Linked DNA regions of Caenorhabditis elegans. The protein of the gene in region 2 interacts with the protein of the main gene of each other region in a pairwise test. Each region holds a gene or a part of one and is shown on either strand. Other genes may lie near its edges. The genes, in order: bath-9 and hcp-3.

Region 1 (10,505 bases), on a different chromosome or scaffold from region 2:
TTGAAATCCTTACCCAAGTGGAAGAGCTAGTCAGCATCTCAATTAAAATCCGATAGGCAAAATCTTTCATCTCGGGGACGGGATTTCCATACAGCAGGCATACAATATTCTGAAATTTGAAATTTGGTTCAGTGAGTCTTTCAACGACGGCAACCAACCTGTTGACACCATTGCCGTAGGAACTCGCTTTCCCGTCTCGCTTGAAAACTATCAATGATCAGGTGGATCCTAGTAGCCTGGAAATTTAAATTTAAGTTATTAGAATCCAGCATTCTAAAGTATACCAGCGCTTGTCTTGGCACGAAAGTCTGATCATCCTCTGGAACAACTCGACAGTCTCGGATCAACTCGTAAAATTGATTCTGAAAGTAGGAACTATTGACGAAGAGCAGGGATTTTGAAGTACCAACCATAGCTGAATCATCGATGCCTGCAGGAGTGTTAAATGCGGGATCCTCGGGAGTTCTGGCGAAAAGTTCCCTGATCTCGGCGAGTTTACCCATATCGTTGCTCTGAAATACGATTGGTTAGGAACGTAAATTGAAGCGCTGAAACTCAGGAAACCCCCTGCAAAAGGTATTTTCAACCAGGCAAGGAGCGGATGTCAACTAGCAAAAAAAGGCCAGCAGCGGGCAATTGGCGGGCTTCAACGGGCAACTATCGAGCAACTATCGGGCAACTCTTGGGCAACTTTCGGGCAACAGCGGCGACTATAAAAAAATTGGGCTAGATGGATCTTCTCCCAACACATACCTCCACCAGCGTCCTACAGATATACTGTAACAAGTTCTCATTGGCAACTTCTTGATCGAGTTGGTGATCCTGCCTCGCAGCTTCAATGACTTCATCAGGTTCTGTGTTGAGATATGGTCGCAGGGATCCTCGTAGAAGCCTGGCCAATTCGGTAAGAAATGGGCTGTCCGGTATGGGTAGAGCAGCGGCCACCTGTGGAGCTTCTTCTTCTCCCTTGGCTTCTTCTCGATCAGCTTGCTCTTCTTTTGGTTGGCGTTGTGCCTGAAAAATGGGAATTTATGAAATAGAAAAATTGTTAAATGTTACCTCTTCTTGGTTGCCCTCTAGTTGCCGAGCAGCTTGATTTTCCGATGGGCCTTCCATCGCCCGTTCCTGAGTGGTATTCGGGTCGTCGGACATCTAAAAATCAATAATTTGATGATGAAATCGAGAAAAAACTAGGAAAGCTTGACGAAAAATGAGGGGAAAGAACAAAAATCCAGTGAGAGTCCAAGGAAACACAAGAAAACAAAATTCGGCGCCGGGTAGGTCAAAAAAACCTGGTAGGTCAAAACTCAACTAGACTAGCCTAGAAAAAGATAATACATAGAAAAATTGTACTAGCAGCCGACACTCTTCCTGGTCACCCTATGTGTTTGCTCCGGCGTTAACGCTCAGCGTTCCTTAACTTCAACAACTCAACAAAGGCTCATAACAGAGTGAGATTTGCCCCGTTCGGTTCGAAATTTTCTGGGCAAATCCGGGAAATAATTATGCAAGCATTAACAATGAAAATTTTATTAACATAATCCCAGTGTCTGTGCTTTTGATTCAAAAAGAAATTTAGAAAAATTATTTAAGAGCCACCGATTTCTGGAGAAGAGGCGCCAGCACAGTTGGATCCATTTCAGCAACATTGCATGCCATTGCCGCTTTGATCTCATCCATTATATTGATTTTCGACAGACATGATTTCTAAACAGACTGATTAGGATTGGAGGCTCAGCTATGATCCTTACCTTCAAGTTATCCAGTTGGTATTGCTTTGCAATCTTTAACTTTTCCCTGATTGATCTTTCAGAAATTTTGATTAGGAACTCTTCACATCTCCGAATCGCAGGGGCATATTGTACTTCTGAGCCAATTTGAGGATTCCGTCAATGTTCTCTTCTAGAAAAAATAGAAAATTTGAACTTTCACATGTTTTCAGTTTTACCATCAATAGCAGGTTCTCCGTATAGAACCTCCAGGAGACACTGAAAATCGGTAGAATTGATATCGGAGAGTGTGATTTCTGAATTTTCAGCTTGTTCGAAGTCGAAGTCTCCGAAGAGGAGATCCTTGAAGTAAGTTGAGTGAGCAGCGAGAAACTGAAAAGCATTTAAAATTGAAATTCAAAAGCAAAAAATGCAAATACCTTCTTGAGAACGTAGAACTTTTCATCTCCAATTGCTATAATCGCATCAGAATACTCCTGAGCCGACTTCTCGAAGCTTCTAAGCTTCATCCTAGGGATCCCAGTCATCGCTTTGATCATGACGGCTGCTTCCACAATGATACTATCATCAATTAGGTATTCCTTCAACAATGTCTCCCAACTAACAACCTTAGACCATCTCCATGCGGGTATCATGATGTTTTCAAGTGTAAAGTCAACTTTGACCCTACGACTCATTTGTTTCCCATTTGAAGTTTTAAGAGTTAATTCGAATTCCGTATCAATTGCACAAATTTCATCATTTTCCGTCAATTTCGTACAACGGAGGTACACATCTAAATGATCATCTTCTCGATAAAGTTGCAAGTCCCTGAATGTTCATTTTATATTCATTTTAGTAAAATAAAACCTATTTACCATGGAACATTGAAGTGATCTTCTTCAGGGCTTAATAGAAAATTACCGTTTTCCAATTTTGATACATCTGTGAAAATGTGTGAAATCTCAAATTCCTTTTTAGCGGAATTCATTGTCCTGCTGAAATTATAGAGTTAGAAATATTTCAAACAAATTGGATAAAAAAGCAGTAAAGGAGTTTCTTAAAAAATCAATAAAAGGCAAACGAGTAGTCTTGGAGGAGAGAGAATGAGCTGAGAAATGGCTGAGCTGGTAGTCAGCTGGTAGTCGAATGTTATCGATCCGTAGTTGCAGATGACGCAGCGTCAATAAGTCTTCCCAAGAGTGAAGGAAGAACCTCTGGCCACAAAATTATGCGTTTCAGAAATACATAGAATTTCCCGATTTCCAAAAAAAAAGGGAGAAATGCAGTAGAAACTTAAGTAGGCACGTAGCCAAGTAGTCATGCGGTGTTCATGTAGGTATGCAGTAGGCATGTAGTAGGCATGCCAGCATGCAGTAGGCACGTAGGCATACATTAGGTATGTAGGCATACAATAGGCAAGTCAAACACATGGCAAAAAATTGAAATTCGATAACCTGAATTTTCCCTGATATTCGAATTTTTGAAATATATTTTTTCAAATTTACAGTCATTTTTCCGCAGAGAAAACTTGACAGCCCGAAGGAAATTTGCAGGAACTTCAAATTTAGCCTTAAAATTTTCAAACGATGTTTCACATCAAGTACTAAAGAAAAGTCAAGAAAAACCAAAAATGCCAAAACTCAGTGATTAACCTGTGATTTTTTTTTTGGAAATTTGGAGAAAGATTGTAACAATTATATGGAATATATGTACTTGAAAGTGGTAAAAAACAATTATTTTATTCAGAAATTAAATTTGAATGGTTATTTTAGAGCCACCGATTTTTCGAGAAGAGCCGCCAGCACTGTTGGCTCCATGTCAGATAGATTACCTGCCATTGCCGCCTTGATTTCATCAATCGTATTGATTTTTGCAAGACATAGTTTCTGAAAAATATTCAATTTAGATTTACACGATCCGTTGTGATCCTTACCTTCAAGTTCTCAAGTTGATATTGCTTTGCAATATTGAGTATATCTCGCTTGGGCCTTTCATATTTCTCAACCAGAAATTCCTCACATTTCCGAATCGCAAAAGGCATGTCTCTTACAGTCAGGACGATTTTGGAGATGAGCCAACATTTTTCAAAAATTCTTTCAAAACTAAATAGAGGACCAAAATGTACAATGCTTAGTCGAAATTTGAAGCGAAAATGTTGAATTTGGAGGATCTTATAAGCAAAAATCAATAATTTTAGAAAATTGCATGTAATTTTTCTGAAACTACAGATATCAATGTGTTTTAGAATGATTAATTATGTAAAAACCGTCTTACAATAATGGTTTTTTAATTTTTGTTTTGAAATCATTTGGCATCTTCGGAATATGGTAGCCAGCAGATATGTGTGACACATTTTTTCGACATATTTAAAACATCCCCTATTTCTCCTTGTTGAGTCGAAGTTTTGTTTTGAAAATTTATGTAGAAATATAGAGAAATATTTGTACTTTTTGGAAATTATTATACTTTTGCTCAAAAGTTTCAAAAAGTCGCTCAAAAATTGGTTCAAAGTCATCTCAGAAGAAGAAGTAGCATGGCAAGCCTTGAAAATGAAACAAACTTTTTTATGATACAATAAGTAAAGCATACAAATTTACATAACTTATGTGCTTCGTAAAATTACTAGTTAATGAAGAGCCACTGATTTTTCGAGAAGAGCCGCCACTACAGTTGGATCCATGTCAGATAGATCCCCTGCCATTGCTGATTTGATCTCAGTGATTGTATTGATTTTTGATAGGCACGATTTCTGAAAAAATTGTTTTATTGGAATTTAAAAGAATTTTAAAATCTTGATTCTAACCTTCAAATTATCCAGTTGATATTGCTTTGCAATTCTGAACTTATCTCTCCCGAGTTTCTCAGATTTATCGGATAGAAACTCCACACATTTCTCAATCACCACGGCCATCTTGTACATGTGAGCCAAGTGTAGAATTCCCTCAACGTTCTCGTCTAAAATTAACTTTTTTTCTAGAATAAAAACCTTTTTCTTTACCCTCAATAGCAGGTTCTCCGTACAGAACCTCTAGAAGACACTGAAAATCGGCAGCATTGATGTCGGTGAGCGCGATTTCAGCTTTTTCTGGTTCATCGAATTTTCCGAGAAATAGAGTTTTGAAGTATGATGAGTGAGTGGCGAGGAACTGAAACACACATTAAATGAATTTTTTGGCTAATTTTGAACAGTTCGGCACTAAAAGTGTGTCATGACGCATAACTTGTTGTGCCGGATTTCAGAGATTTCGGCGTTTTAGAACAGTGGTTAATTCGGCCAGATGTAGCCGAAAAGCCAAGTTAGGGCTGATCTCTAATATAACACTTTTTGGAAATTTCGAAGTTTCAATTTTAATCGGCAAAAGTCCTACGCATCCAATGAATATTCCTACATCTATTTTGAAAAGTAAGCAAGTTCTATGAAAATAACTAGAAAATAAGGGGGAAAATTTCATAAAAGCACAGTTTTAAGCGTTTCCGTCTTATAAAAAATCTCTCTAAAAACTCCCGGCAAATTCAGTTTTGGAAAACGGAAAATCGACAATTTGCCGGAAATGAAAATTCCCGGCAAACTGTCTAACCGGCAATTTGCCGATTTGCCGGAAGGCAATTGCCGCCCATCCCTGAAACATACCTTTTTGAGAACAAAGAACTTCTTGTCGTAAACCGCTAGAACCACATCAGAAAAGACGTCATCTGACTGCTCAAAGCTACTGAGCAGCTTCCTAGGAATCCCAGTCATCTTTCTGATCTTGACCTCTGCTTCAACAATGATACTATCATCAATGAGATAATCCTTGATCAATGTCTCCCAACTGAACTCCCATCCCCATTCATTCGAATTTGGCACAAATTTAGTCCTAGCCTTGTTCCTAAGACGTTTACCAATTGAATTCTTGACTGTTAGTCTATATTCGGTATCCACGGACCATGCGCCTTCTCCGATGTCTTTCAATCTCTGGCAACACAGATAAACTCCGATGTTTTCATTTTTCCGAGCAATTTTGATATTCCTGAACAAAAAATTGTATATTTATATTAACTTAGAAAAGACTTACCATCGAACATTGAAGTGTTCTTCTGCGGGACTATGAAAATATTTGCCTTTTTCCAATTCTGATACATTCTTGAATATATGAGTGAGTCCTATTTCCTTTACCATTCTGGGCGAAGTCTTGCTACTGAAATTGAAATATTAATTATAAAAAAAGTAGCAGTTCTCGCAATTTATTATTTTTCACAACTGATTATTACAACCCGCTATCCATTTTTCAAAACCTAATACACCAATAATAAAGTTACTTTTTTCAAAAAATCAATAGAAGCAAAAGAGTGAACAGCCATCCAGCTGACCACCGTGAAGACAAAATGAGAGAAAGGGGTGGTGAGAGACGGGGGAGACTGGGTGGTCTTGACCCCTGTCAACGACAAATATGTAGGCAGTGAATGGTCCCGAAAGGTGCCGTCTTACATCATTAGGGTCTTGATTGGAAATACAGTTTTCTACTACAGTCCGTCCAATTTCTATAGCTCACTTTTATCTGTAGAGTTTTTTACAATTTCACCAATATTTTGGAATTTATTGAATAAGTGAAAAATACAGTATAACCACAAAAAAAACAATTTCAAATTAATACGGTCGTCCATTTTTCGAAGGCGGTTCAATAGTCACCGATTTTTCGAGAAGAGCCGCCACTACAGTTGCATCCATGTCAGATAGATCCCCTGCCATTGCTGACTTGATGTCTTGGATTGTTTGGATTTTTGAGAGACATGATTTCTGAAAAAAAAAATGTATTAAAATAGTTTTTAAAAAATATATGAATTCTAACCTTCAAACTCTCCAGTTGGTATTGCTTTGCAATTTTGAACTTATCCCTCATGGGTTTTTCAGATTTGTTGGAAAGAAACTCTTCACAGTTCCGAATTACTTTTGTCATTTTGTACATGTGAGCCGAATGAAGAATCCCTTCAACGTTCTCGTCTGAAATATTAACAATAGTGTTATCTACTATATGGTTACTGTAGTTTCAGAAAAAAAATCAGTTTATAGATTTTGAGAATGAAGTGGGCTAGGATTACTGTAGGAGCATTGTAGTTATAGTTGACACAATTTTGAAAATGTTTGGAAATATTTTGGAAGTGTTTTGAATCTTACTGAGATGGAATTGTCCCCGTCCAGCCTAAGCCTTGGTCTCAGACTAAGCCTGAGCCTAAGCTAGTTGTCAATGCAAAATTAAATTCAAATACTAATATTTATTTAAACAAATAAACTTGATAGCTTCGTAATTTCCCCCCCCCCCCCCCCCCAATGTTTAAAATATTTTTCAGATTAAATTGTATTAAATTGTTTAAATTGCTATAGTTTTCTTACCATCCATAGCAGGCTCTCCGTACAGAACCTCCAGGAGACACTGAAAATCGGAGGGGTTGATATCTGGCAGGGTGATCTCCGATTTTCCTTCACAGTCCATTTCTTCAAAGTCCAGGGGAATAAGAGATTGAAAGTGTGTAGAGTTTGAAGCGAGGAGCTGAAAAGTACTCAAATAGTTGGAATATTCAGAGACTAGAGCTACCTGTTTGAGAACATAGAACTTTCTATCCCCAACGGCAATAATCATATCGGAATACTCCTCACTTGATTCATCAAAGCTTCTGAGCTCTTTTCTCGGAAATCCAGTCATCTTAGTGATCTTGATTTTTGCTTCGATAATGATACTGTCATCAATCAGGTAGTCCTTCAACAATGTCTCCCAACCAATAAACTTATTAAGTCCGAAATCACTTTCAGTACTCTTATTTGATAACAGACATTTAGCGATTTTCGTTACTCGTGTGCCAATTGAATTCTTGAGTGTAAACTTTAATTCCACATAAATTGACAGTGTTGTTTCTTCAGTTCCTTGTAAACTATTGCAACCCAGAAATACTGCCAATTCATCATCTTTCCGATTTATATAAAGTAACCTGAATACGACATTTGAAATTTATTAAATGTATCTTATAATTGGTGAAAACTAACCATTCAACATTGAAGTGTTCTTCTAGGGGTCCACATCTACATTCGCCATCTTTAAATTCGGATACTTTCTTAAAAATATGGGTGAGTTGGAATTCCTTTGCCATTCTTTTACAATGTAAGAATCAATAAAGAGAGTAGACAAATGGCCACCGTGAAGACAAAATGAGAGAAGGGGCAATGAGAGACGGGGGGAGACTGGGTGGTCTTGACCCCTAACGACAAATATATGAGTGGTCCCTAAAAGTCTTTCACAGGCAGTCCAATTTTTATAGCACCTCCTGAAAATCCCTGAACACTTAAAGATGGTGTAGTCGAATTTTTTTATTACCTCATTAGACTCAAAATTGTCTGAAAACACCGAATTTCATAATGAAACTTCTTGAAATCTTTTCAGAAAAAAGTTATGACGGCTCAAAAAATGACATAAAATTAGTTAAAATCGGAAATTTGACCAACTTGTCAGTGTCGGAGCGGCTGGAAACAATTTTTTTTGAAATCACCGTAAAATTTTAAGTATACAAGTTGATTATCTCGCGTTTTAAACTTCATTTAGGTATTTAAAAGTCGATGGACGGCGAGTTTTGGTTTAAAAAATTAAAAATCTCGCCGTCCATCGACTTTTAAATACCTTAATCAAGTTTAAAACGCACGGTAATCAACTTGTATACTTAAAATTTGACGGTGATTTCAAAAAAAATTGTTTCCAGCCGCTGCGACATTGATAAGTTGGTCAAATTTCCGATTTTAACTAATTTTAGGCTATTTTTTGAGCCGTTATAACTTTTTTTAAAGAAGTTTTCAAGAATTTTCATTATAAAATTCGGTGTTTTCAGACAATTTTGAGTCTAATAAGGCAGTAAAAAAATTCGACTACACCACCTTTAATTCCAAATTTTTAAAACAACCTTACCCGACTTTCAGCTAAAGTATTTTTCAGAACTATCAAAAAAGGTTTCAAATAAATATTAATTTTTAAAAGTCCATTTCGAGCATTTTGCAACAAAAAGTTTTAGACAATTTTATACAATTCTAGATGCAGATTTCTCTTTTGAAGTGGTGTCTCGACTCACTTCCGTCTTCCTACACAATGTCTCGACCCTCCACTGCCTCTCGATCTCTCAGTCGTTCCCTTTTTCTCTTCACTTCATTCTTCCTACTAGACGCCCTACTGAATGGGTGTCCCCCTCTTCTTTTTTATTGATTTTCGATTTATTTTCTAAATTTTCACTAATTCTTGCAATTTTTCCAGTATGATGAAGTGAGTTTGAGAGTTTTTGAGAATTTATGGAAATTTTAAAATTACAGATACTGAAGCCACTTCGAGCCCAGCCGAAAAAAGTTTCTCAGTCATTTGGATGAAATAGTGAAAAGAGCCGACTGAAAACATTTTTTTCAACCCGGAACCTATCATGCTTTGAGGACAAAGCAGCTTTTCAAAGGCGTCAAATGTCACAAGCTGATTTTTAAAATAATTTTTCGCCCGAATGAAGACTGGCCACAACATACAATTTGGAGCAACTTCAAAAGAATAGGAAAAGTTGCCGTCGCGGGAAAACAGCTGACTATAACAACTATTTCCAACAATAAGTAATCTCATTAATAACCCCAAAAACACAAAAAAAATCTGAAAAAGTAAAAAAAATTCAAAAAAAAAATTAAAATTTAAAAATTATTTCAAAAAAATCCTTATATTCATGATAACCAAATAACTTAATATTGATTTTCTTCACCCTTTCTCATAACCCTCACACTCTTATTGTCCTAATAGCCTAATATTTATTCTTAATCCTCAAATCCTAATCCTAATATTATCCCTAAACATTTGCATTACTCTCAAATTGTTCTCTCCTAATAACCTAATATTGATTTTTGTTAACCCTACACATTCTCATTAGCCACAAAATATCCTAATATCCAAAACCATAATATCTTATTATACTTCATCTTTATTCATTCATTTATTCTCTCATACAACTTGTGCACCCTTTTTTGTAAAGACCAATCTAATTGATTGGTTTTTTTATGTGGAGGTTTTTAATGCGGTATTGCCATCAACCATCTTTTTTCCTTCAATAAATCATCATGCACAAATTTTGATTTTTGTTATTTCTGCCAGGGATTTGGAAAGAAGCTTGAAAATATACGGTTAATTTCTGAGTGGAGTGCGAACATACATGCTTCAATTTAAAAAACTGATTGAAAGTCCGTGATATGTCTGGGATGTTCAAGATAGCTAATAATCATTTCTTCGGGATGTGTGTTCCAGCTTTCGAACACTCTTCAAATTATCGTTTCAGGCAAGTTTACCACTTAAAAAGAAAACTTCAAAACAAGTCTGCTCCACCTTCAATCAATCTTCGTTGTTTGCATTCAATTTTTTTAGTTGACCGTTCTTCTTCCTATGAGATAGCATCTGCACCATTGATTTGTAAGTTTATTCTCTGTGGTTTTTTTTAATAATGAAAAGAAAAAGGAAAAGGAACGTTAACGTAATGTAGGGCAGGGGTGGGCGGCAAACGATTTGTTCGGTAAATGGGCAAATTGTCAAATTTCCGAAGTTGGAAACTTTTGAAAAATAGGCAAACCGGTAAATTGCCGATTTGCCGAATTCGCCAATGAAACGGCAATTGCCGACAATTTTCGGTTAATAAAAATGTGCAAAATTGTGGTTTTGCACATTTTTTTTGGAAACTTCAAAAATTCAAATATCTAGAAAAAACGGGGAAAAATTTAAAAACAGCACGGTTTTAAGCGTTTCCGTCTCATAAAAAATG
Region 2 (10,058 bases):
ATTTGAGCAAGTGATTTGTTCCTGTAAAATGTGACCGTTTAGTACGAAATCAACGCAGTTTCATCGAAAAATTAGGAAAATAATTATTTTTTGTTCAGAAAGTTTCAATTTTTTGAAATCTGTAGGGTGAGAAATTCTAAGAAAAAAACTATTTTCGAAATAAAGGAAGTTTTCAGTATTTATCGTAATTTCCCAAGATTTTGACATGCCTTCTTAAAGGAGCACGGATTTATTCAGATGGGTCTCGGTGCGCAAAAAGTAATGGTTGTATTTTTTTTTCGCGCCGAGGCCCATCTGAATAAATCTGTGCACTTTCAAGAATGCATGTCGAAATTTTTTGAAATTATACAGTTTCTTTTTGATTTTGAAACTATTTTTAAATATGTAAAAAACATTTCACCTGTAGATACATTAACATCAAGACGTGGATAGCATCGTTGAAGAACAAAGTAGAGAAGATAATTTCGGTCGCGACCTTGCATTTTCTGAAAATTGATTTATCTATTTTCCGACTGTTATCTCAAAGCTTCCACTTACAAAATCGAGAAGACCGTCCTTCGGAGAAAGCGATTTGCGATAGTCGTCATCAAAAAGCCCACGAATCATGTTCCAGCGTTCTTGTGGAGTTTTGTAAGTCTCGGAAAGGCTACGCAAGTCATCTCTGCCTACTTCTGACATAAACTTGTACTCTGTGATAAAATCTTCCTTATCCAGCCATCCCTGGTCATAGATCATCTTCTCGAAAACTCCATCTTTCAATGCAACGTTAAACGCGTCACGCACAATCGGCGGAACTTTCGTCATTTTGGCCCGACCTTCAGTCACCTCACATTGGCCATTTTTCTGTAAAATGAATTTTTTATTCTAATTTGGACAAAGAAGTTCTCGAACCTTGAACAAATTGAGTCTGGTCGCGATTGCAGATCTTTGATAATTGTTCAACATCCTCGCTTTTTTGTCACCGACCCAACAATGTACTCCACGTCTACCAGAGAAGACCCACATTCGTGCTTTGAAATCGAACATATCTTCCAGTTGGAAATCCAAGATTTTAACAGCGAGAACCATGAATTTCCAGCATTTTGGGCAGACGGTGGCATCTCTGAAAAATTAGAAAATCGAAAAGTGGGTTACAGATCATCTTAATAATGCCCTCAAATAACTATCTTTGCTAAATATATCAATATAAAAATAGAGATACGCGGAAACGGGATTTTCGTAAACTCTTACTTGCAACAATTACGAACTGGATCGTAGTCGGTCAAATCGATATCAAAAACCAATTCTCGTTCCACAGCTTGATAATCTGTATGTCTCTTGTTATTAATTGGCTCGTGATTGTAGACAGCTCCAATATCAAGTTTTTCCGGGTTAGTACTTGAAAGTGCTTTGAAAAATGCGTGTTCGTCATTGTAACTACGATATCTGATATGAACGTCATCTGCCAGAATGAATGCGAATTCTCGGCGGTTGAAATAGTCTCCGTTATCTGCAAATTTCAAATTTCGTTAAGAAAATCGAAATTCGAAACTCACTTTGTCCGTAGCGGAGCCATTTTGTGAATGGTTTGACTGGGAAGAAGTTTTTGTAGTATATTGGCAAATCTTGTGGAAGTCTGATGGAGTTATAAGACATTTCTGAAAAGAAAAAAAACTATAAATATTTGGTTCAATTGAAATTCAAGCTAAAAAAAGATGAAATCCTCAAGAAATAGGCACATATGTAGTGCGGTAAACTGGTTTAAATTCCAATTTCGCGGCGTGTACAACAGGGCGCGTTTGCATTATTTTATTTTTCTCTAAAAGACCATTTTCTCTCCATTTCTATACTCATTTTCAGTGTACAAATGAATTCAATAAAACATTCTACGGAAATTCCATCGACCAGTAAGCTGTCAGATAAGCAAATAATTAATTAATATAAAATAATTGCAGGTACCCAATCACTAGTATTCGAATTCACGAATTTGGACGATTTGTACGGATTTTTGAATATTCTCCAGTGTCGTGAAGAATATTCGTTTGCTCAAATACGTGCCTTCTATAATATTCCCGTCGATAAGGTAACTAATTTATCTTCTATTGCCAGAAGTTATTATATTTAAGCTTCAGAAACTTCTTGTCAACATCCAAGTGAAAAATCCGGCACAAAATCTCGATTATGCTTGGGAAAGACGTTTGAAACACCATTTCCGATACATGCTTGATCTCGAAAAGCTCATGTGGAACTTGTCTACTCTAGGTGGCGCTTATTCAGCTATGGGAGATTTCGATGCAAATTATGTAAGTTATCAGTTTACACTTTAGTTTAACGCTAGCTTTTCAGGCGAAAGTCGCTGCAAAAATTACTGCTCATCAAATCAACTTAGCGAAAAAATATGGAGATCCAGTTATTCTTGCACGATGCTACCTGTATACCGCCCTCGCAGAAGCACAACTCGGAAATCTCTCGCATGCTGTTAATATTGTTAGGTTGGATTCTTGAAAGTAGAAAAGGCTTATTTACGTGGTCAATTTCAGAGCAATTTATCACTGGGCCAAACAGAATCCGAACACGGATATTGTACAAAGATGCTGCGAAGGAGTCTATCAGAAGCTTCGAGCTATTCATATTTTCGGAAAAGCTAGTTCGAACAAGTGATTAAATAAAATGTTCTCATTTACAAGTAATGAATCTTTATTATTTGACAAATAGTAAACGTGTTCACGGTACACAAAAGATCAAACAGCGCTAAAATTGATGAGATAAATATGGCTTGAAGATCGAAAAATGAGTATTGCAAATATTGTTATCAGAGATGTCGAAGGCAGAGACGTCTGTATAACTGAATATCCGTTGTCATGAGTGTGACACGTTTCGCATGGGTGGATATAAGAGACGATCCTTCGAACATTTCGACCAAAAATGCTTCCGCCGCTTCTTGAAGAGCACTGATGGCGTCAGAACGAATACGGCAGTCGGCGCCAAATGGAGTGGAAGTCTGCATAATTTCGCGGACGAGGCGTGCGAACGGAGCCTGAAATTTGGAATTGTTTTAATATAGTTTAAATAAAGTAAAAATTGTATACCTTTTGAATCAGAAGGTCTTCAGTTTTTTGGTACTTGCGGATCTCTTCCAATGCCTTCTGGCCCGGTCTATAACGTCTCGTTTTGGTGACTCTGTTCCTTCCGGCTCTCATCCGCACGCGATCGGAGCTCGATGGGCCAGTTCTATTACCACGATCGGGGTTCGATGGGCCAGCTCTATTTCCATCGCCATTTGTTCCATCCATAGAATAGTTTTCTTCGTCGGAGCTATCGTGTCGACGGTATGAGGGCATATGATGACGGCCGTGGGAGTAATCGACAAGATTCGTGGAATTTCTGCCGACCTGAAATAAATTTTATGTTGTTTGAAATCATACAAAATTGAAACTAACCGTGAAATCCATAGACGAAGCTCTTCTCCGAGCTTGCTCTTTTCGCGCGTGATATTCGTCTTCGGCTTGCTTCAACTTCAAGACATATTGATTCCGTTTGCCTGTGACCAATCGAATTTTGTGGATGTGCGCTTCAGTGTAGTCGTTGGCTGCATCATCCTCAAGCTCCTTCTTATACTGGTTCAGAATGTCGATCAAATCGTTGACACCTGCGGCGCTTGTGTTGAATCCCGGCACTGAAGTGACTCTGAAACAGCAGACATTAATTTGTAGCACGAAAACAAAAATCATCACTTACCTTTGCATGTCATGTTTGAGACGTTGCATGATCCTTGTGACGCTCTCATTTTGCTCGGCGATTTCCTCAATAATTGGGGTGTCATCGGCCATTGTTCGAAGATTATCCTGATAAAATATAAAATTTAGAAAACTGAAGCTAAATTAAGACGATTTGTTTGAAGGTTAAAAAGGAATTAAAGAAGCAATAAATGCGAACGCAGTTTAAATAAGTAACGATTGGCGGCGAGAGACGCAGGGAAATACGCAGACGACATCACGCTAAAGTGCACACAAAACAACATAAATGACGGACTCAACCCCGGGGGTCGCCTAATTAATCAATATTTGGGTCTTATAAAAATTTAGTTCAGCTGATTGAACAATTGTGTTGTTTTTTTCGAAAAAAAAACGATTCTTCATAAATATTCCATCAAAACTTCACGAAACTTGGACTGCCTTGGGCTGTGTCTCGCATACAGCGATAATATATAATATGAGATTAGCTGTATAATTTTTTATCGAGATAACTTTGGAAAGTGCAGTGAAAAAACAAATATTCGCCGGAGAAGACAATGATTCGGTGTTTTTCACGACACTCTGGAGCTTTAACACACAAAAATGTAAAAATAGTCTGATACAAAAAGGAAAAAAAAAGAAAAAAAATCAAAATAATTCCTAATTTTAGGTGACAATAATCTGAGAGTCACCATCAACAGACAAAAGAAAATTCTAGAAAAGAAAAACCAAATTTTCGCGCTTCCGCGCGCTTTGAAAAACTAAAATGTGCAAGTAACACGAGAGATGCGCCAGCAACTTCCGCTTGCGCGGAAGGCGATTATTCAAGCAGGTCTAGAAATAATAATTAGAGCTAATATTCTCTTATAATCGAAGAACGCTTAAAACTTCGCTGCAAAAAAATTATAATAAATTTATATTTGGACCTGGTAATCCAGTGTTCGATAAGCCGAGTCTACTGCAATGACATAGCACAAGTTTTCAATTCGAATCACGTGGTCTCATGAGACGTCTCATAACTGATCTATAGTTTTAAATAGGATTTTTTATATATGATATTAAAAAAATTCAAAAAATTTTTCGGCCGGAAAAGTGTGCCTGCTAACCGAGTGACAATGGTTGGAAACTACGTCTCAATTACCGCTTTTTTCCATGTTTTTTCCCATCAAAACAGCGAAAAATCGAAAAATGAAACACTTGATCCTGACACCAAGTGATTCAGGAAAGGCTCGTAACTAGCAAACCTATTTTATTTCGATGAGCTTTCCGAAGCTTGTTGAAAACATATAAGCCAACTTTTATAATTTTAAAATACCAAAAAAGTCTAAAATGCCAAAAAATTCGGCTAATCGCTCTGTTTGAATTTGAATTCCCTCCAAAACAAGAACTGCAATACCAATTAGCAAATTGCTCCGCACACTTTTCCACCAATCAGACAAAAAGGGCGGAGTCCGGAAACGCTGATTGGTTTCTTTCTTTATTTTTTATTTCTTTTCAAATACCATTATCCCGATAGAACGATAGACATGACATGTTTTGCAAAGTTAATACTAAACTTGTTTCCAAAAAAAAGTGTACGTGTTCCGTGTTGATTCATTTTCCTTTCCAATTCTGTGTCTTTAGAATTTTCAAAACACCAACACACACACACACACGGAAACCTCTTCAATATCACTTTTGCAGTATTGTCTCTCTCTTTTCTACATTCTGCCCAAAAAAAGATTGAACACATGAAGAAATATTCGCGACGACGAATGGGGTGACAAACTGTGTAAGAATACTATCACAATGATGCGTAAAATGCTTTCGTGACGTCTGTCACTAAACAATTGAATTTTATGAGCGCGTCGAGATGTTCTCAGTGAAAGGAAACATTTTTAGGTGTACATAATTGGCACAGAAATCATAAGGAAAAAAATCGAAAAAAAAACCAAAACTGCAGCTGAATGAATTTGAATTCTTGAATTTCAAAACCTACGGAGTCGGTCAATATTCTATTCGTTCACGGTTTTACAGTGATTTGCTTGAGCTGTTCGAATAACTCAAAAGATATGTTAGCAAAATATTTTCAACTGACCAGATGTTGCAAATTACTTTTTCTACATTTTTATTTATGTCAAAATTATTATATAACTCTATTTCGGATCAAGTTACAGCAGCTGAGGTCCTCCTCAGACTTTCATAATTCATGTTTCATGCTTCGTATACTTTTTCCTGATCAATTTTTTACACAACAATAAATTGCAAAATGTAGGCATTTTTATGGAAAACATTTTCATATTAAACTTTGTTCCATGAAAACACCCAGTTTCAAAGTTGTGGTCTATTTAGAAATTCGATTCAAGAACTTGCCCGCCGGATGTCAGCAGCTTCAACTATTTTCAAAATAGAGTTTTATAAATTTGACATTAATATATATGTAGACCAGATAATTTGGAACATTTAGGTAGTTTAATGTATATTGCTAGCTATTATACATAGTTATTGAGTTATAAGTGTTTGAACAACTCAAGCACACCAGGCAATTAATTCATGGTGCATCACAAAAACGGCCATTCATAAGGCGCAAATTGCAAAAATTTTCGAGTCGCGGTGTATGCATCGTGCTTCCACAAAGCCAATACTGTGTAGTTCCTGATGGACATCTTGCAAATTATCTATGATCTAGTGACCAATATTCCCATCTGTTTGATTCGAACATCCTTCACCAATCCTCTTCCACATCCTGGCGCCAACTCAACCTCGAAGATCATCCGACCAAAAACACATGTCGATGGCATCCCGACCCCGTCGGTGCCCATCCACGTGCCCATCGTTTCTCTCGTTTCCTCCTCTCCGAAAGCCTGATGATCGTCGAACGAGTGCGTCAGAGACGCAGAGATATGTTCGGCGCTTCGCCTCCTTTTTTGCGACGAGAGCTACAGAGAAACGAAGAAATAGGAAAAGTATAGAGAAATTGTGAGATATAGAGAGATAGTGAACATGAGAGAGTAAGCAATAGAGAGAGAGAAGGAGGCGCCCGCTCCCTCAACCCCTAAGACCATTGAGGCGCTGCTGCTGGCCTTTAACATTTATGTGAGTGTGTGTGTGTGAGTGTGGTGTGTTTCTCGTCAGCTCCTTCTTCTCTTTTCCATCTCTTTTTTTTCCAATTTCTCCCTTTCTCATCTCAACCCCATGTTGCCTGTGTTGCTGCAGCAAACCGATCAGTCCACCACCACCACCGCTGTCTTCGTCGTCGTCGCCGCCGCGAAAAACTTTTTTCTCCCAAATGATTCGGAGCGTCGTCCCCCCCCAGCCCAGTCAGCCAGTCAGTCAGCCTGTGTATATGTCTATTTGTCTCGCAGTCTCTCTTCGCGCCCGGCTCCCCCATCTCTCGTCCCGCCGACGAACGTATTTCGATCGTCTCGTTTTTTCGGTTGTGTACCCCAATATCTAAATCTAGTCGCGATTGAACACCTGACCTATTCTGTCAAATCACACACACCCTTGCGTCTGTGACGACATTTATTTGCAACATGTTTCATATTGAATTCCATATGGTAAGAGTTCCATTTTTTTGATCAACAAGTTTCCTCTTGTTTGGAAAAATCTATGAAAAAGTTAATAATATTAATATAGTACCCATTATTACGAGTATTCAGGTGAACCCTCTTTCCATTTGACCTCCAAAAATTGCGGGAGTAGAAAACAGTAAGTCCCCACAATTTTAGAGGGGGTCTACCTCTATGATCTTACTGTACTCGACCATCATATCGTTCTTCCTAGATTTCTGATTTTCTGCCTCAAGTTTGTTATGATTCCATATGTTGTTATGTTTCTTTTTATCTTTTAGCTTTCTTTGTCTTCCCCCCGATAAATTATTTTATCTCTTATCTCACTCACTGTCTGGCTCGCGCCTACCGTATCATCGGAAACGAGCGTTTACGTTTGCCCCTTCGCTAGACAAGGTCTCGAAACGAAACGAGACGCGAACTGCAAACTTTTCTCCGTCTGTTTCTCCGTTGCGTCCAAATCTTCTTAAATCACTCTCTCCCTCTCTCACTCCACTCACAGCTGTTTGTGACCCCAACCAACAAAACTGGGGGCCGCGCCATCAGGTGTTTTCCCCATCCATCCATCTGTCTCTAATTCTCAGGATCCCTTCAGAAAATGTTTCTTGGATCGGTTGATGGGGAAGATCGCAACAAAATCCCTTAACCTTTATTTTGAATGATAACAGATCATTACCGTCCGAATAGTTCTCGATGTCGTTTTGTTCAGTGTCTTTCTCTTTTACTACGCCTTTGAACTGATCTCTTTGCCGATTTTGGTGATGTTTTGTGATCTTATAAGAACTATAGTGAGTATGACTATGAAAAATTGTTCCCAACCTTTAACGCGGTTTCAACTAAATCTTGACCAAGTTTTTCCGAAGTTTTGCCAAAACTATGGACGAACTTTATATGTATGTTATACACAAAAATTTAGGCAGGAAATTGCCTCCAAAAATTGAGAAATCTTCCTCTGAAATCTCCAATATTTTCACGATTAGACTCTATTAACCTATGTTCTATTAAGTATTTCATAAATCTACTACCAAATGTTTTCTAACTTTAGATACTTTGCGTGTTGCTCTATGTGCCCAGCTGTTCTCCCATAAATGCCAAACTTGACCAACTAGATCATCCCGTACACTTGCACACTACAGCTGATCAAACTTTTGTTTCTTTTTTAGTTTTATGATTATTATGTGAGAAGTAACTAACTTTTCGTAATTACCAAGAATTCTTAAACTAACTGGTCAACTGCTTTTTGTTGACTTGTCAATGGGTTCCAGGGAGCCCTCATTGTAAAAAACATATGGTAAGTGCAATTGGCTATCGTCTATAAGCTCAAGGAAGTTGGAACCAATTTTTTGTTGATATTTTTTTCTGTTTTGTCTTCTCCATTCCGTTTGAGAATCAGTTTGTGTGTTCATCGCTCTCTCGTTTCTCCGATAAATCGCTAATCAACATTTTTTCTCGGTTTTTTAAGAAAGTAGAAAGATCAAAACATCAAGAGCTCATATTTCATTTCTTGGGGTGAAATCTTGAAATCTAGCCTTAAATTCTTTTTTTTTTCTTTCTTTTTTTTTTTTTAAGACCGATTTATTCTTGGTTCTTCATATTTTATCAAGAGAGAATCTGAGCAAGTCCGTTTGTAACTTTTGAAAGACGTTTTGTGATTCTGCAAATTTATAGAGAACTGATTGTTATTAAAACATGGACTCTGTCGGCTTCACGAGATAAGCTCATCGTCAGTTAAAAATAATTTCATTACAAGAAACTTTCGGTTTCTAATTCCAATTTTGGCAATGTTCTGATGTTTCGATTACTCCCAAACTCTGATCATTCAAATTAGTATCATGAAACATTTTAAGTAAAAGTTGTTGCATTAAACACCTGAAAATGGATCACCTGTTCTTTCCCTCTCATTTTTTCAATTATAAACCCTTCAGTTTTTCTATTTTCTATACATTTAAAACCTATTTCATCTGCTACACTGAAACTGCCCTCTTCCTCACGCCTTTTTCATTTAATTTACATATACATTGGTACCTACCGTATGAAATAGACGAACTGCCCGATTTTGAATTATAAGTCGGTGTGTTTCGACCCTCGATTGCTTCCTCTTTCCCCTCATGTGTCTGTGTAAAACATGCCATATGACACACTGACAAACTCTTTTTTTTTTCGATCTTTCCCCTTCAAGAATTTTCGTGAAGCATCAGCTGTTGGTTTTTTGTCGCAAATAATTCCAATTTTGTAAAGTTTCAGGTAATCCAGACGGCTCCCATCGTCCCTTCGTAGTCTCCGTAGTACTAACAGTAAGTATTTATTTCTTATTTCAAATAATTCGTGGTATAATCATTGTTATCTTTGCCCCCAAGTGTTGCTTATCACAAAGATTTTCAGCTGGGAAAAGAGCCTATCTTCTTTGATTCTACAAAGAAAATGGCATGTCAGCCAGTCAGCCAACATAGTGGGGGAAAGGTGATAAGAGTTACGGGTTTCGGGAAACTTTTGTCGGAAAAAGAGAGAATAAGGAACAAATAGAATTTCAATTCGAGAACCTCAAAAATCAAAAAAGAAAATTTTTTTCAGGTAGATCAATAGTAGAAAATGGTTCGTTCGGATAGCGCAGAAGAAGATCAAATCATCATTGATGATGGGTAAGGATTTTTGTACTACATTTTTTGCTCATGGTTTTAAGAAGAAACATTCGAAAAGTAATGTATTGACATAAGTCTAAGCCGAGTTTTGCTTATAATCATAATATGGTTGAATTCCCGCCTTCTAGGCGACTAGGCAGGCGGTCTGAAGACGT

Evidence for each region.
Region 1: the proteins of hcp-3 (region 2) and bath-9 interact in a two-hybrid assay, tested with the Caenorhabditis elegans proteins (one large-scale study listed by BioGRID).

Annotation. Positions count from the first base shown.
Region 1 is NC_003280.10:3,372,483-3,382,987, reverse strand, and holds bath-9 (BTB domain-containing protein), read right to left. Parts: upstream 5,900-10,505; 5' UTR 5,872-5,899; coding exon 5,768-5,871; intron 5,723-5,767; coding exon 5,344-5,722; intron 4,859-5,343; coding exon 4,711-4,858; intron 4,668-4,710; coding exon 4,516-4,667; intron 4,462-4,515; coding exon 4,339-4,461; 3' UTR 4,154-4,338; downstream 1-4,153. Other genes in the region: T06D4.1 (Type VI secretion system protein TssA), read right to left, coding at 14-109, 159-236, 285-362, 411-512, 754-1,014, 1,060-1,152; Y49F6C.2 (BTB domain-containing protein), read right to left, coding at 3,476-3,598, 3,646-3,928, 3,987-4,027; bath-10 (BTB and MATH domain containing), read right to left, coding at 6,340-6,489, 6,542-6,693, 7,084-7,240, 7,286-7,676, 7,732-7,835.
Region 2 is NC_003281.10:9,612,645-9,622,702, forward strand, and holds hcp-3 (Histone H3-like centromeric protein hcp-3), read right to left. Parts: upstream 3,827-10,058; 5' UTR 3,810-3,826; coding exon 3,718-3,809; intron 3,667-3,717; coding exon 3,420-3,666; intron 3,372-3,419; coding exon 3,069-3,371; intron 3,017-3,068; coding exon 2,792-3,016; 3' UTR 2,662-2,791; downstream 1-2,661. Other genes in the region: pri-1 (DNA primase small subunit), read right to left, coding at 1-21, 401-485, 538-843, 892-1,102, 1,231-1,489, 1,536-1,635; F58A4.6 (DUF4807 domain-containing protein), read left to right, coding at 1,847-1,886, 1,935-2,062, 2,112-2,282, 2,326-2,471, 2,520-2,640; hlh-11 (Helix-loop-helix protein 11), read left to right, coding at 9,854-9,903. UniProt on the Caenorhabditis elegans protein: Histone H3-like variant which exclusively replaces conventional H3 in the nucleosome core of centromeric chromatin at the inner plate of the kinetochore.